Linked DNA regions of Caenorhabditis elegans. The protein of the gene in region 2 interacts with the protein of the main gene of each other region in a biochemical or structural test. Each region holds a gene or a part of one and is shown on either strand. Other genes may lie near its edges.

Region 1 (10,334 bases), on a different chromosome or scaffold from region 2:
TTACGGGTTTCCTCGTTCAGAACAGCTTCCAAAATGCGGACAATATCAACATGACGGGTTTCTTCTAAAAAATTGAGGGATTATTACAGAAATTGATTTTTCTTTGTATAAAAAATGTTCGATGTATAAAGCCTTTTACCAAATATCATTAATTCTTTTAGAACTTTTCCACTACTTCAACGTTTTTTAAAGGTTTTATTAAGATTTTCCATTCGAAATTTCTAATTTTTTTTTGAAAATTCTGTAAATTGAATGGAACAATCGATAACTGAATGGCCTTTATCGTGTATGGAACATATGTTTGCGCGTGACGGTGTTTGCACAAAATACACCGAGGGGCCCAGCCAGAAACCCGTGAAACATCTGATTCTAAACAAAATGAAAAAATGTATCTATTGCTCGTAATAACTTACTTCTTCTAAATATGCACCAACTTTTAGATTTAGAAAAATTTCCAATTTTCAATTCTTTCAACGAGAATTGTTTCAGTTGCCTTGCAGTGTTCTCATCCAGTGTCTGGGGGTGTAGTGTAACTTTTGTTACGTTCAGTTTATGGATGGTTTTTAAATTGAATGGTTTATCTCGATTCATTAAATATGAATAAACAATGTTACTCGATTTGGAATCAAGTTCAAATTCTCTGTTATCGTATGAACCTGTAAAAATACTTTAGTGTAAGATTGAGATAAATCTCCAAAAAACTAACCATTTTGAACGAATTCGGCAATTTTTTGGCAGGCAATGTCATGAAGAGGCTTGGTCATTGTTTGGAATAACCAGAAAATAGAGAAGTGCTATCTTACAGAACGAAAGAGAATGAAAAAACAAGAAAGGGTGAACAATCGAGGATTGCGAGCAAATAGTATGGTCCTATGAACACCTGTCTCTAATGTAGCTCTATCATTGCACCTCGTGGGAATGAGAAAGTGGGAACAGTCATGAATGTTTGAGGTCAGATAAATTTTGAGTTTACATAATATTGTTTCAAAAACTGAAATATGAAATCTGATAAAAATTTCATATATTATAACTTCTAATGACTTCTTGCACTTTGAGAATATAATATAAGGACGTACATTTAGAAAATTATATTACGGGAACAAACAATTCTGAGAATGCGTACTCGGCAACATTTTTGACGCGCAAGCTATCTCGTAGCGAAAACTACAGTAATTATTTTAAGTGACTACTGTACCGCTTGTGTCGATTTACGGTCCCCATTTTCGAAATGAGGGACTTTTTGAATAGTGACAGCAACTTCTCATTTTTCCCTTGGTTATTTCGTATTATTTTCTCATGTTTTGCTTAATTTTAATATTCCATCGACAAATAAATTATTTTAATTCATTTTGAAATTCGAGCCCGTAAATCGATACAAGAGCTACTGTAGTCATTTATAGAATTACTGTAGTTTTCGCTACGAGATATTTTGCGCGTCAAGTATGTTGCACAGTACGCATGCTCAGAATTATATGTTCCCGTAATATTTGTAATCTGGGAGGTTTGAGAAGCTTAAATTCAGCCTTTAATTTTTGTGCACATATTCTTAATCTGTAGTACTCACTAGGGAATTGTCAGAAGCTTGCATATCATATATGTGCGAAATTTTATATTAGCTTGTTTCCTTCTTTAATTGTTGATTATTTTTCACCTTTGTTTTGTTAACACCTTGTTTTCTTTTATCTATGTATACCAATCACACACACACAAACATACGGCGAGAAAAGCAACTATAATAATCTATAAATATATAATTATAATAACAAGCTATATAAATCTCAACATATATAAAACTTATTGGGTGCGCGGAGAGGAGGAATCGAAGAAAAACGAGGGAAATATAATAAACGTACAAGAGTATTTTGGAAGATAGCGGGAAATTTGAAAAAATTGAAATTTTGGAAAATGGGGTTTCAAGTAAATTTGTGTTGCTGAAAACTCGAAAAATCCATTTTCCAATATTATTTACTGGAATTTCGAAAATTTTCAAATTCCTATTAGAAAGCTCGAATGGAATGGGCTATGAGAAAGATCTTTGCTGACCAGAATCGGGATATCACGGCGAAAAAAGAATGCAATTTGAGATGATGGGCGGGAAATGATGGGGGGGACCTACAAAATTTTATACATAATTGGCCAAATGTTCCGAACTTTAAAAGGCCGGGAGGCATTCCGGCACGGGGAGAGATGGGAATGCTATTCGTTAATTCAAATATTAGATTTTTTGTGGCGAAAAAATAGGTTAAAATTAATCGAAATTGATTCCCGGCAAAAATGAATATGGTACGGTAGGTTGGTGGGGTTGGGGTGATGATCTATGAAACTATTTTGTTGATAGAAGCATAGTACATACATATATACTGGGCACAACAACTAATCAAATTCAAAACGAGTTATTAAAATTATTATGCGTTCGAGACACAAACGTCATAATTTTAGATTATCGTAGAGAAATGGAAATGTGTGAAAATGGGAAGAGAAATGATAGAATGATAAAGTGAAATGAGTATAGGATAACAATATACACATGGTTTTAAACTAATTGGGCGAAAGAGAACTGGGGGAGAAGATACAGACAATTATCAATTGGGCAATGAATCACGAGTGAATTTTAGACGGCAGAGTTTCGTGCTTCCGGCCAAAAGTAGAACTTTTTGAGCAGGCGGGATGTCATCTGAAATTTAATTTAAATTTTGGGGAAAAATCTAAAACCGATACCCTTGTTTTCAAGCCGCACAGAAAAAGAGGCGGAGCGTCGTTTTGCAAACTTGCCGCGCGCCAACCGTGTAATACTCGTGGACAACTTTGAATTAATTTTTTAAATGAGTTAACAATTTTTGGCTTAAATGCTTGATGTTGATGTATTTTCGCTATTTTTTTTTACATTTAAAAATCGATAAATTTCGTTGAAAAACTACAAATTTTCGTTTTCAGTAAAATCCAATGGCTAATAAACATTTTTTACTGGAAACCCGATAAATAGTGACTATTTCAAAATTTAACGCAAAAAAATTAGCATAAAATATTCAAAATCAATCATTTTAGCTAAAAACTAAAATTCTAGGTTGACGCGCGGCAGGCTTGCAAAAGGACGCTCTGCCTATTTTTCTGTGCCTTAAAAAGTTAGCAGATCGATTGTTGTTCAAGTACCTCTGGCATCTGTTTCAAAATATTCGATCCCTGTGATGTCTGAAATCCACAAGCGACCTTCTTATTGACTTCAGTCAGCAGCTCAACAACATCCATATCCTTTGCGTGTGTCGAGAACACTTCACAGACGGCTTGAATGAACCATGATCCACGAGCACTGTTTCTCCACGAAACATATTGAGCTGTCGTTGCGTATGCAATCAGAATGTCAGCTTGGCTCGGCTTCTTTCTCCACACTTGCTGCAAAAATTTATTAATTATCATTTAAAAATGTTTACAGGACGGGGCTTTCGCTCCAAAGAATATAAAATAATCGGAATATTTTTCGAAAAAATTGAAAAAATCAATTTTTAATTTTCGAAAAGGCGATTTTTAAATTCCCTCTAAACTGAAAACTGCGACCAATCAGCAATTCACTCCGCCCACTTTCAAACCAATCCGATGAAGTGGGCGGAGATCGACGATGCTGATTGGTTTGTCATTTTATCACAAATTTCGTAATTATATCGCAATTTTTTCGTCGGACTTTCTGGAATAAAAATCTATTTTAGATTTTTTGAAGGAATATTCTCATTCAAGAAATTAAATTGCAACCTGAACTTGCGGCCGCACACATCCAAGAAAATTGAACAATGGCCCGTCTCGATTGTCCCATCCACGACGAAGAAATGCAGGAACTCCGTCGACAGAATCCAAGACTGGGAATCCATTGTCACGACGTTCTGAAAATGAATTTATTTAAAATATTTATATTAAAATTAAAATAAAAAACGAACCGCCTCGACAAGCCTGCACAAAAACGATTTTCGGCTTATTCGCCAGACGGGGAGCATTTGCCGCGTTGAGAAGATCATATATCTCGTGTGTACTAATCGGTATATCATCAACTCCAATAATCACATTCTCTTCTCCGTGTGATAGAATCACGAGTATCGCAGAATCTCCGTGTGATTCGTGTTTGGCAAAGTCTCGAATTGTCAGGAGCATTCCCTGGAAATTAAATATCAGTTTACATTAGGAACAAGGCTGGGAAATTTTTTGGGTTTCTTTTGGTATTTTGACGAAAAATTGATTTTTTGGTTTTTGGGACCAAAAAACCAAAAAAAAAATCGAAATTCGACTTTTTTTTTGAATTTTTTGGCTTTTCGAAGATTTCAATTTTACTTTTTGGTGATTAGGAAGGTTTATTGTCCAATGGTGCAATTTTTGCGACAAAAACTACGGTACCTGGTCTCGACACGACAAATTTTTGGTCAATGCAAATGGGGTGTGCGCCTTTAAGGAGTACTGTAATTTCAAACTCTCGTTGCTGTGGATATTTTTAAAATCGATTTTTCATTCTCTTTTTCTCGATTTGTTAAAAAAAATTTTGAAAAATCTAGAAAAAATGTTATAAAACTTTTCTAAATCCTTCATGATTTTTTCAAATTTTGCAAAAATAAACAAATCGGATGAATAACTTTTGAATTTGAATTGTGACGTTGTTTTGATTTTTATTGCTTTTCCGGAGTGGTTTTTAAAGTTTTTAAAAATACATTTCATATTGAAACACCGTTTGCCAATTTTCACAAATTTTAAATTGTGCATTTTTGGATAATTTTGAAAATTCAGAAAATTGATTTCGTGCTATCAAGTTTTGTATGCGGAAAATTGTCTGAAAATTTACAAACGGTTTTTTACATCAAATATTATAGAAAAACTAAGAAAAAACACATAATGTAGCCGGAAAAAACGAAAATTTCGAAACTAGGTAAATCATTTTCGCGGAAGTTCAAAATTTTGTTTTTTGCAAAATTATACATTTTTGCATTTAACACAAATTGTCGTGTCGAGACCGGGCGCCACATTTTCGGCGCAAAAATGGCAAAAATTTCGCGTTTGGGTAATATAATTTCGCCGTACCCTTCCCGTCAGATTGTCCTTGCAAATAACCGTATAGCCCATGCATCTGAACAAATTGGTAAGATTGTCCTTGTCGGCCTTGGTACCATTCCGTGTTGGCATCTGCTCAAAGTGTTCATTATTTATGATGAGGCACATTCCACGAGGACTCGAGAAGTTTCTGTACATGGTTTTCTCGTCGAAAACACGGCTTATGGTTGGTGCATCGACAAAGTTCATATCCTCTTCATGGAATATGTATTGAGTTGGTCCAGAAGCTTTGCTGAATGAGCGATTACGACTTGAACTGTATCCGAGAGAAGAGCATCCGGTGAATGAAGAGTTGGCGGATGCTGAAATGTGTTGGTTTTAGGATCGATTTTGATACCCAAATTTCCTCTTTTTTGACGTTTCGCACATTTTAATTTCGCAATGTTTCATTCAATTATATCCTCTAGAAATTTTGATTTCCCTTTTAATTTTCTACATTCATGTGATGTAGAAAAATGCAAAAATGTATTTTAATGCATTTTTTCAATTTTCGCAGAATTTTTGATTTTTTTCAGGTGTTTCGCACATATTTTTGCTGACTTTCATTCAAGATATGCTTATTAACATCTATAATTATCAATAAAGGTAATATCTTGAAGAAATTTTGGTTTTCGCTCTAATATTCTCTACTTTTTAAGTTGCTCAACGAAAAAATAATGGGGTTAATCATGTGATGTTGAAAAATACAAAAAATGTATTTTAATACATTTTCCCCCTATTCATTTGTGCAGAAAAGTGTAAAAAAACGCATGCATTTTTTACATTATTCGACATTTTTTTACATCGACCGACATCCCATTTCACATGCTGAAGACGAGAGACGCAGAAAGATGTGTGGTATTTCTCCGCGTCTCTCGTCTTCAGCATGTGAAGTGAGCTGTCGTTCGATGTAAAAAATGTCGAAAAATGCATGCGCTTTTTTACATTTTTCTGCACACATGAATAGGGGAAAATATATAAAAAATGCATTTTTCGTCATCATATGAACAACCACATGATTTTTTCGTTGAGCAATTTCAAAAGTAGAGCATACTAGAACGAAAACCAAAATTTCTACAAGATATTCACATTAATGATAATTATATGTGTTAATAAGCATATCTTGAATGAAAAAAATCAAAAAATCTGCGAAACTTGAAAAAAGCGTTTTGGCACATGTTAGATGATTTTTTTTCAAAATGTTTAAAATTCTTTTCAAAATATCTTGAAGCGAAAACTACTGTAACTCTTTAAAAGAGTACTGTAGCGCTGGTGTCTGTTTACGGAAATAATTTATTAATTGATCAAAAATATCAAAAGAAAACACAAAAATGACAAATTAAAATTCGTTGTCACAATTCGAGCATATATTCGTTTCGAAAATCGAGCCCGTAAATCGACACTACAATAGTCATTTAAAGGGTTACTGTATTTTTCGCTACGAGATATTTTGCGCGTCAAATATGTTGAGTAATGCGCATTCTCAGAATTTAGTGTTCGCATCAACATACAAGGTTGGCTGGGAAATGCGTTGACTGGAGGAGATGAATAATTGTGTCGATCCGATGAATGAAGTGCACGCGATCGAGAACGAGATCTTGCTCTTGAGTAGATATCCTGATAAGAAGTGAATGATGACACTGAAGAGACGCTGTCACGGTGAACTCGGGTCGGTGAAGTGTAGCCGGCGGGGCTCAATGCGCGGCTCCGACGATGGCTTGCCGGTGACATTGGACACTCGAATTCGACAGCATTCGAGTCAACACTGGAAAAAAGGGATATTTGAAGGAGATGTGTGTGTGTGTGTGTGACAAGTATTTTCGGCAAATCTACAAAATGGCCTTTTGCGCCACGAAAATTAGTGTTAAAAAATAAATAATCACTCGAGCTTTCAGTAAATAAAATATATTTCACTTCAAATATTTGGGAAAGTGCATAATTTCCGATTTTCGGAGGAAAAAACCGTGCCGGTGGGTTGCAAAATTACGATCCGCCTCTTTTTCCGTGAGACCCTTGCTTTTGCGCCGAACTTTAAAAACCTACGATCTGGCGAGAGGTTCAAGAACTTCAGCAAGTCCTTCGTGTCCCGTAGAGCGAAGAGCATCATAAAACGCGTCGAACGCCACATCTCCCCGTCGTTGCACTGCTTTCACGATCTCCCGTCTCTTCTCGCGAACCGTTCCACATGACTGCAAAAATATTCTTTATATTATCAATTTTTTTTTAAAATTATTATTCGATTAAAAACTCACATTAATCATATCTCCATTATCACTATTCAACACTTGTTTTGCGATGAGAACTTCGAGAATTTCATCGACTTTTAGATGACTAGAGAACATCATAATGTTCCTCTCTAGCAAGCTCCTTCTATCTTGACGCATCATCTTCGGCTGATGGTTGACCTCTCTACTGACCCGTAGTCAGAGTACGATTTGATTTTCGATTTAGTCTGAAAATGAGTGAAATTATTGGAAAAATAGTGTTTTTTTTTAAACATTGTCCTCAAAATTCAGCTCGATTTGAGTAATTTTTATCGATTTTTTTCCTAGTTTTCGTCAAAAACTCCAACAACTGCACTGAACTACGAAAAAAAAGGTGAAAGTCAGTAAAATCGGAAAATTTTGACCCTCTTGAATTTTTTATCTTGATTTCTGGCGAATTTTGGGGTTTTTTTTTGTTAAAATTGTTTTGAATCAGTTCTCTTTTATTTTCGCAAACATAAAACACAATTTTCAATGAGAAATCGTTATTTTTAATTTGAAAACTGATTTTTAAAATGTTTGTTGTGTTTTTGTTTCTGTTTGTCAGCCTGGAAAATATTAGAAAACTGATTTTAAAAATTTTAACAGAAAAATTCACGAAAATTTTAGTAATTGAATTAAAAATGCAAGGAGAATTTAAAAGTCTATCAAACTTTTTGCGTGCCGAGACCCATTGGAATAAATCCGTGCGCCTTTAAAGAGGAATGCCAAAATCTTGTGAAATTATTACGGAAACACAAAATTCAGAGAATGCGTATTACGCATCATATTTGGCGCGCAAAATATCTCGTAGCTAGAACTACAGTAATCCTTTAAATGACTACCGTAGCGCTTGTGACGATTTACGGGTTGTCAAAATTCGAAAAAAAAAATTATTTTCAAAAATTGAGCCCGTAAATCGACACAAGCGCTACAGTAGTCATTTAAAGAATTACTGTAGTTTTCGCTACGAGATATTTTGCGCGTCAAATATGTTGCGCAGTACGCATTCTCAGAATTTTGTGATTCCTTAATACGATAATGTCGAGCCGATTTAAAAGACTTTACCATTTTTTGTAGTTTTCGGTGCTATTATGATAATTTTACGATAAATTAATACTCAAAAATCGGAATTTTAGCGGAAATATTATAAAAATAAGATGTTAGCACACGAAGAGAAAGTGCTGCGAAGAAATCATAAACATTGAGAAGATATTCTTATGGATTGTATATATTGCGTAACAATTTGGAGAAAGTTTTTGGCCGGTTTATTGCAAATTTCGCGGAAAAAAAAGTTTATGATGGGCTCGTAAGCATGCCGATGAGAAAAGAAAGTGGATTGTAGCAGCAGCAATATGAGTCACCCATCTGGACAGTTCACATTTCTAAACGATAATTGAGACGGAGCAGGTGGCATCACGGAAGAGTGTACCGAAAACAAAACCGGGACAAGTTGAGGATACCAAGGACGACAGGAAAATGATGAAATGTGGTACAAAATGAACCGGGCGTTTACCCTGAAAGCTCCTGATCTCATCTAAGATTCCAACCCCGTCATTTGCCTCCATGCACAAATATAATGCGATTTGGATTGTTTAAAGCATTGAAATTGCGACAAAGAGCTATAAAATCGAAAAGAGCATACCAAATGAGATACACACTGCTTTCCTAAGTGGGTTTCGAAGAACACCGCCAAAGAGGTGATGGAGTGGTGGGGCTAAGGAAGAAGGTGCCGGAGAGGTCAAACATGTGGAAATCTTAGGATTGTTTTTGTTTCACATTAATTGCCCTCGTAAATTTATTTTTGGATTTGAGTATCGAAAATCTATGAGCCATGAACACGGAGCGGTGAGGTAAAGGTAAAGGTTTAAAAGTAGTTTTATTAGTAAACTAATCGTTTTTCACATAAACAGTGGTTTTTTTAAACGAAACAATGCAAAAACCAAGGTTAAATATTATAAAATCGACTTCGAGAATCTCAGAATCTTTCTGGCAACAATAAATCGGCGAGCCTTTTCTTCAATTGATGTAATAATTGCTTAGCAACACGTTCAACAAAAAGAACAAAGAAAAAAACGACAAAAGATGACTGCAAGATAACGGAAAAGGAGGCACAACACACGAATGTTCGAACGTTTGTTTTTGGCGGCTGAGTGTGGAGGTCAATGGAGCGCGTTTGCTCTCACAATTCTTTGAGACGCTGCCGCTCGAGGATGAGCATGAAAAAGTGATAATAGGGATATTAATTCGACAATAAGACGGAAAAATCTAGAAAACTGGACTTTTTTTCTGAAACAAGATTAATTGTGCTAAAACAGTCAAATTTCCTCAGAAATACACTTAATTTATTAATTTATCACCTTATTTCAGATCTCATTTAAGGAAAAATAGTTTTTCGAACAGGGAAGTTAAAAAATCCAGTTTCTATCAAAAAGTCGATATTTTCACTACTCTGGGAAGAAAGCGAAGATTACGAAGAGGATAACCGTAAATTATTGATATTTTATCAAATTTTCAATCATTTAGGCGTAAAAAAGTGAAATTCTGTTGAATAATCGCTTAGAGCTATTGATAAAGCTCAAAAAGAAAGAAAATCGATAAAATTAAAAAGTTTGCAATTCAAATTTGAATTCGTAAATGTCGTGAAGTTCGATGCCTTGGTTGTACGGGTTACTGTAGAAACATCACATTTCACGCAGAATCGCAGTGAGCCAAATTTTAAAAATTGAATTAAAATAAACGTTTTAAATTTTTAATGCAAAGCTTCAATGTTTCTTAAAATTTTAATTTTAATTCTTGTTGATAATATAAATAACACTAATTAGTAACATAAGTAACGCAAGAGCCAAAGAAAACTTTTTATTGAAAATTCTGTAGAACAGAACTTAATAATTTCAAAAAATCAAATATCGCGTCCATCAATCCCACACATCTAAGCACGTGGAAGGAACAGATACTCGCCGTTGCTACGTGGAAGATAGTACAAGTTCTCCCACACTCCTTTTCCATGTTCAGCGATGAAATATCCAT
Region 2 (7,582 bases):
CTTGAACTAATTTCTACACCAATTCTGACTGCCTCTTCTGGATCCCAAACTCCAATATTGAATAACTCCTCACCATCGTCAATCTTATCATTTTCTCTCGTCTCTCTTTCTTGATCTTCAATCGATTTTTGATTTAAATCTCTCAATTGTTGAATTTTCTTAACGATTATCGTTTGTTTCTCTTCATATTCGGTTGCATATGCCAGAGAATTCCATTCAACATTATCATCCAGTTTAGTTTTCTCTTTTCCAAAAGCTTTCACCAAAATTGTTTCTCGAAGTTCATCAGTCAACAATAACTGATTAACACGATAGAAAATACTTGGCAGGGCTGCTATAACATTCCAAAGAGTCGCAGAGATAGGATGAATGTCCATCAATTCCGGTACAAGGATCTGACGTTGTGAAGAGTGTGGAACGGAAGTATTCGACTCTTTTGAATCAGAAGCAGATGCTTGAGGAATATTTGACGTTGAGGAGTTACTCACAGTTCTTGAACGACGTGGTTGATTTTGAATTCGAGGTTGAAGAAGGTTAAGACGACTGAAAAATTTAAATATGAATATTTATGACTTTTTGGACAAGATTGACAAAATAACTTACGTAGATGTGAAATCTACATCCAATAAACTTTGATTCTGATCATAAATCTCTAATTTATATTTCTTGATGAAATACTCGTTAAACGTTTCGAAGTGCGTATCCGGGAATTTCGACGACGGCCTCCATTCTGGTAGAATTTCAGCAACATAGTAGAATACAGGCTGTTCCAGATTTCGATACCACGGCATTACGATCGCATCCTTATAATCTTCAGCGTTGAATTTGTATTGACGACGAACTTCATCTTTTGGAATACGTGGCATATTTTCCATGTTTGCAACTACTTCCGATACATATTTCATGTTGATTGTGTAGGACATATCATCTTTTCCTATAACTTGAGTTCATTTTTATACTGTAGAATTTTTTTTTTTGAAAAAATTATCCTTATAATTTAGTAGACATGCTTTAATTTTGAAGAAATATCTGAATATGACGTAGAACATACGCTTGTTAAGTGGAACAATCAACGTGTTCAATGGTGCATTTGATGTTCCATCGAATTCCAAATTTCCCGTTTTACACATTTGAAGAACTTGTGTGAACAAATAATTATGGAACAGTTGAATCTCTTGAAGCTGAGCAGCGGTTACGGTAGTCTGAAATTTAGGAATTGTAAAAATAGATAAGCTCATTTTCAGGTGAAAACCTTTTTCGGTGCGACAATCAATCGGACTTTCATATTTCCTTGTCGAAGAAACACTGGGAATGGTGGGATCTACAAATAAATATTATTAGCTATCAAACAGAAAAATGTACCTTTGGTATCTCTTTTGCGCTCAGAAATCCGAAGCAATATTCATAATTAAATGGATCTTCAAACTTTCGTCTTTTCGGGTTCAACGTAAGTTCGGCTTCCCGGAAACGTTCCAATTCGAATGCATAGATGAAACATTCCTTATCTGCTTCCACGAAGGATTCATTGAGAGCACGAGCAATCTGTAAATTTTTAATTATTTTTACTTAATTATCACTATTACTTTTCCGATAATTAAATTATTTTCATTGAATTGAGCGACTTTTAGAAAATCGAATATACGAAAATACCTTTTTGTCATATAATTGCTTTCGTTTTGATGATCCAACTTTAGCAGCAATTCCAGGTGCATACTCATCCGGCTCCTCATCAATATGTTCTAATAATTTGGCAATCGACTCTCTTCCTTTTGGAAGTAAATTATCATCGAGTTCTCCTTCTAAATGTAATTGTCGACATGCTTCAAGTGCAACTGCCATCTGTGCAGTCTTCTTATTTGGCATTGGATTTTTGAGCACAATTGCATGTTTGATCGGTGAGTTAATTGGAAGAAGAAGCTCTGCACAGTATTTGGTCACTCCATTCTCTTCAATTGGAATGATTTGATTGTGTGGAACAAGACGAGTGAAGATATCGGAAGGAAGCTTCGAACAATATCTGGAAGATTACCAATTGTTTGTATTTAGCTGTTGGATTAAACTTCTAAAGTGAAATTATTAATATACCTATTAATTAATGCGATAGCAGTTGACATTTTCAATGTTGCACCAGTTTTTTCAACAACATATGGTTCCATTTGAGAATCAACATCAAATTCTTCAAATCTATCCGAATCATCTTCAATAGGATTGTTGACTGTACGATGGCGGCTAAGAAGAATCTTAATATCATTTTTTAAACAATTGAACTGAAGATTCCAATATTACTTTTTCTATTTGCTGGAAATCTTTCAAATCACTATCACACGCCGCAGTATCTTTCTCCTCAACAGTGATAACATATCTTGATCCAGCTCGCCGAGCTCTTCCCTTTGACTGAACGTATGATCTCATGTCAAGTGGTCGATCAAATTTAATCACAAGATTACATTGTTTAACATCTACACCTTCTTCAAGCACTGATGTAGCGATAAGACAATTGATTTCATTTCGATGGAAACGGCGAAGAACCTAAAAATTATATTTAGACAATGATAATTTAAACATAAATTTACTTCAGTTTGTCGTTTATGTAATCCTTGACTATCCGAACTCGCCAAATTTCGTCCGCTGGCTCCAACGACGTAATCCGGGTTCACAAACTTGAACTTAGGCTCCCATGATTTAATATGACGCATCATAAGCTGAAAATTTACAATATATTACCGTAACATTCATATAAACCTACAAGTAACGAATATGCAATGTACCGTTGATCGACAAAAATAATGGCTGATAAATGTTCTGCTTTTTCTAACTTCATTCGTTCTTTTTGAAATTCGGGGTTGAAAGTTTCTAGGATTTCGAAAAGACGTATGACACGTTGAGGAACATATGGACGGAGAGCTTCAATACTTTTGATTTTCTTCATCTAAATTGGAAAAAATTGGTGTAATTAATAGTTGATTGCTTACACTGGAAGTTGGAAAATGCTAACTTGGAGTTCAATATAGAATAGTAATTTTAGATTAAAAGTGTTATTGAGGATCATTCCAAAAATTCAGCTGCGTCCGAGCAGTTTCACCCCTTTTGAAAAAACTTTCAACTTAAAAAAAGTGTTTCCAAATATTCGTAAATTGTTTTTAAAAAACATATAGCATTCAAGCTTCAGCCCATAATTCTCAAAAAGCCATGAATTGAGCTACAATCTTACAATTTGAAATCTTGCTCAAGATTTGTAGCTCTCTTGGTGAGTAGGGAGTTACGAACTTTTTCGAATGATAACACTTTTTTGTCGAAAAATTGCTATACCATAACGATACTTCGAGGTACCATTTTCCAACGTCTCTTGTTAGGTACGCACCTCCGGTTCCAACAATCTTTTAATCGTAATCATAGATGTTTTTGCCATATTCAAAAACCGCAACGTCTTATCCGGTAGCACTTGAGATTTTATAATTTTTCCCAACTCTTTCTCCCAAACTTGAGCCGTTCGCCATGCCGCCCAAGGTCCCAGTTGACGAAAAACAGCTCGCGTCGTCTTGAGAGAATCTTTAATCGGTCTACGAGGATCCAAATCTAGATCTGGATGAAATTCTGTTGTGGTGTTCACAAAGGCTACAGTTTCATCAAATATTTCTATAACTGTGTCGAAATTCGGAATACCCAGGCACCCAATTTCAAAGTCTTTGCAGATGATCACAACTTCATAGGGTTTCGCACCGTATTTCGAGAGCTAAATTAGTTTTATTGGAAACAAGTCTTTGTTTGTCTTTTTTAAATCATACCGAGACTAAATCACTAGCTGTCTCTATAACACTGTCCATCGCAGATTCCAACTTTTTTAACTGTTCCATTAGTTTTTCCGGCGCAACTTTCGCTTTGATAAGACTGGCTGTGAGTCCTAATACACGTGGGACGGGTTTGTCTGAAAAAATATTTCCGTATTTTGAAGCGAATTCGAAGTTTCACCATTAATTCCTCAATACTTACCCTTTTTCAATAACTTATAATCGACCATGATGCTTCTGTATGGATGTTGAGAACCGAGAGCATGATGACATTCGTCAAAGATCAGAACACACATGTCTTCAATTTTCAAGTACGCATGTCGAATCAAATCAAGAAGGCATTGAGCTGTGATCACAACAACCTGAAATATATATGCTCGATAGTTCAGCTTCGTATTCTCACTCACATGGTGCCTCTTCATGAACTGATCACATTGTTCTTTGCTGTCCCATAAACCACTACTTGTCTGTCCGTGGACCTGACCAACTTTGAAACTTGTGTGAACTTCGATGTGGATAGCTTGTTGTTCAACGAGGTTTACTGGAAAAAATGATGTTTTAGAATAAATCTTGTTTTTTTTTGTCAATTATTCACTTTACTGGCCAGCTGGCTTATTTTTAATAGACGAAATTACCTTTCTCTACAACAAAAAACGCTCGTTTTCCACCCTGATCCAATGGTGCAAACAATTGAACTCCATATTCTTTCAGCAGTAGAACTGCAATGAAAGTTTTTCCTGAACCAGTGCCTAGTTGGACGATTGTGTTCTTTTTTGTCGCTTTATCCAAAAGTTCCACCTGAAAATCGATTATTTTTAATTTATTTTGCTACTTAAAAATTACCTGGTAGTCCCTGGGGTTAAAACATTGTAAATCAGCTCTTACCCTGACCATTATTGGTCTGAAAACAGGGAAAATTGATAATGTTCAAAAATTACAATAAAAAATAATTGCCGCTGACTGCCCCGTAGTATGCGCTCTACTGAACCAATGTCTATGTCTCTTTCATGGGAACATTCAAAAGACGGAGGAAAAGTGGAATCGACAGAAATTTGAAAGAAAATACTCTGAAAAATCGTGTGAAAAAAAAGAAACAAACATTTTTTCGTATAATTTTTAAAGGAACATTTATTCGCGGTTTTTGTGGAAATGTAGTTTCCGAGACCCCAACCTTCGTTTTAAGCATGATCCTTTAATATATACAGTTTCTCACACATTTGTCATCGTTCTCTTCTCGTATCCTTGCTGAAATTATTTTAACCATTTCGAAAATGTCCATTTTTGACAGAATGACTACTTCGAAAGAGGCTGCGATGAAGTACAGGTATGGAATTTTTGAAAATGAGTTCCGTAAAGACAGTTTTCAGACAATTTTGCGTCTCAAAGAAAAAAGAAGTCTGGGATGCTCTGATATATCACGCAAAATACGCAAAAAATATTGAAAAAGTTTATGATATGACGACAGTTCTGCAACGAGTACAGCAAGAATGCCTGATGGTGAGTTTTAAAATTTTTAAATCCAATCAAGAACAAATTAGCCTTATTCTCAATTAAATGCTCTGAAAAATCTTCTCCTTATGGAAAACGGTCAGAAAATAGAGGTGTAACAAGCTAATGGAAAATAATTTCAGTTTGCATTGGAAAAAGGCGTTGGTCAACCGGATATTCGCGATGCTGCAGAGCTCATCTTCCCACTGGCCATGCAGAAAGTTGTTATCAAAGTTCTCAGACCTTATTTTATGTCGCACTTCACTAATTACAGACGTATTTTTTTTTCATTCAGCCCCAGTTTCCAATAACATTTTTCAGTTGCCATGTACCTTCCTCATCGAAAAATCGATCATGGAATCGATTTAAACCAAGAGCTGTGGACACCAGAAAAAAAAGAAATATGCGGGCAATATGTTCAAGATTTTAATCCTTTTGTCAATGAATTGTGGGTAAAGCCTGACTTCCTAAATTATATATAACATTTTCAGAAAAACTGGAATTCTCAATGCAAATCGTCACATGAACGCAGCACTTTCAGTGTATATTCGCGAGCTTGCTGCAACATTGGTGATGCACGAGAAAGCGGCTTTTGACAATGAGCTGAGATGTTCAATGTTTCAAGAAATTATGGAGAGTCTGAGGATTTGGTCAGATCAAGTAACAATGCAAGACGCATTCCATTTAATTAGTGACACTATTTACAAAGATGTCTTCCAAATGCTTTCCAAAAACGTGAGTTTTTAAAAAAATTTGGAACCTAAAAAATATTTTTTGTAGGCATATGAAATGATCGCCGTAGATTTTCCAGTAAAATTTCGCAGTCTCATCACAATGAAATATTGCCTTTTGAGAACTAATAATCATGGGAGAGTCGATTTCACAAATTACTTGATAGATCAAGTTAACACAAAACTTCTTGTTGCATGTAAGTTGGTGAGGGGAATTATTTAAAACTTAAATATTTAAAATTTCAGCGGTTGATACAAAAGACATTTTGAAAGCTTATGCGGCGTGCGTAGAATCTCTTCGTGAAATGGACAATAGTTGCGTGGTTATGCATAAAGTTTGTGGAGTTATCAGAGAATATTTGAAGTAAGCTATTTCCTGATTGTTTAATTATATTTAATTTTTTTTTCAGAAGGCGACCTGACACTGTACAACAAATTATCAGTTACATTACTTCTAATAAGAAAAATGAACTGGAAAAAGATATGGTAAGCGTGTACTAAAAAAACGTTTTCTAACACTTTTCAAGAGCTTACAGTCTAAAACTGTTCGATCGGCAATGATGGACGAGGAAGAACTGAAAGGTGTCAACGATGATTTTTTGCCAGAAAATATGGAGACGCTTGGATGGGAAAACTGGATGCCTAACCCAACTGATGCTACTGTTGGTTAGTGATTACAGATAAAAACTCACGGAAGTTCAATGACAATTCTCTCAAATTCAGTAAAAGTTATTAAAATGTTATTCTTATTTTCAGGTGATGGAGCACCCGGGCATCAAGGTGTTGACGTCTTCAATATGCTTGTCTCTGTATATGGATCCAAAGAACTTTTTGTCAAAGAATATAGAAATCTTCTTGCTGAACGACTTTCGAGTTCGGACAACAAAGATGTAAGTACTCTTTTCGTTTTCAACGAAGTCTATATCTTTTTTAGCCTGAATTCGAGAAGCGATACCTGGACTTGCTGAAACTGAGATTCCAATACAGTGAGCTACAACATTGTGAAGTGATGCTTCGGGACGTTATTCATAGTCTCGATATTGATAAAAAGTTTGAAGACATGAGTGAAAGAAGCGCTGGAAATTATGATGTTCCGATTATTCCAATTTCTGCATGTATCATCTCAAGTCATTATTGGCCAAAGTTGGAAACTGAAAAAACAGAAGCGGTGAGAATATTGCAACAATGTTACAATATGAAAAATTATTTCAGTTAATGCCTCAACCATTGCAAGCTGCGATGGACGTTTACCAAGAAACTTATCTGGACGTGAAGCGCGACAGAAAATTAGAATGGTTAAGAAGTGTTGGGTAAGTTTCATTTGTTGAATTATCATGTGAATTTTAACTTTTTAAAGATGTGTAGAGGTTTCTATCAATATCGATGGAGTTGAAGTAGATCGAACAATTCCAAATATGTACGCTCTTCTCCTCTTCTTGTTCCTCGAAAAAGAAACATGGACAACTGCTGAAGTAGTCGAGAAAATGGGAATGTCAGTGGTTGTGACAAGAAAACGATTGGAATGGCTGGTTAAACAAGGATTTATTTGCATGGTAAAATAGAAAATTATTAAGT

Evidence for each region. Proteins that work in one complex are often made in the same cells at the same time.
Region 1: of the proteins of dcr-1 (region 2) and ced-3, one has a biochemical effect on the other in vitro, tested with the Caenorhabditis elegans proteins (2 studies listed by BioGRID).

Annotation. Positions count from the first base shown.
Region 1 is NC_003282.8:13,196,619-13,206,952, forward strand, and holds ced-3 (Cell death protein 3 subunit p17), read right to left. Parts: upstream 7,520-10,334; 5' UTR 7,449-7,519; coding exon 7,314-7,448; intron 7,251-7,313; coding exon 7,105-7,250; intron 6,827-7,104; coding exon 6,573-6,826; intron 5,385-6,572; coding exon 5,053-5,384; intron 4,141-5,052; coding exon 3,927-4,140; intron 3,873-3,926; coding exon 3,745-3,872; intron 3,672-3,744; exon of another isoform or gene 3,522-3,671; intron 3,391-3,521; coding exon 3,151-3,390; intron 2,675-3,150; coding exon 2,612-2,674; 3' UTR 1,643-2,611; downstream 1-1,642. Other genes in the region: C48D1.1 (Zer-1-like leucine-rich repeats region domain-containing protein), read right to left, coding at 1-64, 414-656, 707-764.
Region 2 is NC_003281.10:8,075,593-8,083,174, forward strand, and holds the start of dcr-1 (Death-promoting deoxyribonuclease), read right to left. Parts: upstream 4,690-7,582; 5' UTR 4,683-4,689; coding exon 4,632-4,682; intron 4,587-4,631; coding exon 4,424-4,586; intron 4,330-4,423; coding exon 4,196-4,329; intron 4,151-4,195; coding exon 3,991-4,150; intron 3,926-3,990; coding exon 3,786-3,925; intron 3,734-3,785; coding exon 3,362-3,733; intron 2,930-3,361; coding exon 2,747-2,929; intron 2,703-2,746; coding exon 2,574-2,702; intron 2,530-2,573; coding exon 2,287-2,529; intron 2,241-2,286; coding exon 2,086-2,240; intron 2,018-2,085; coding exon 1,651-2,017; intron 1,543-1,650; coding exon 1,363-1,542; intron 1,322-1,362; coding exon 1,253-1,321; intron 1,203-1,252; coding exon 1,052-1,202; intron 935-1,051; coding exon 604-934; intron 544-603; coding exon 1-543. Other genes in the region: apc-2 (Anaphase-promoting complex subunit 2), read left to right, coding at 5,060-5,112, 5,156-5,285, 5,420-5,552, 5,598-5,724, 5,768-6,011, 6,057-6,204, 6,254-6,371, 6,418-6,493 and 5 more. UniProt on the Caenorhabditis elegans protein: Component of the ERI/DICER complex which is involved in processing amplified double-stranded RNA (dsRNA) intermediates during small-RNA-mediated gene-silencing or RNA interference (RNAi). Involved in cleaving dsRNA in the RNAi pathway.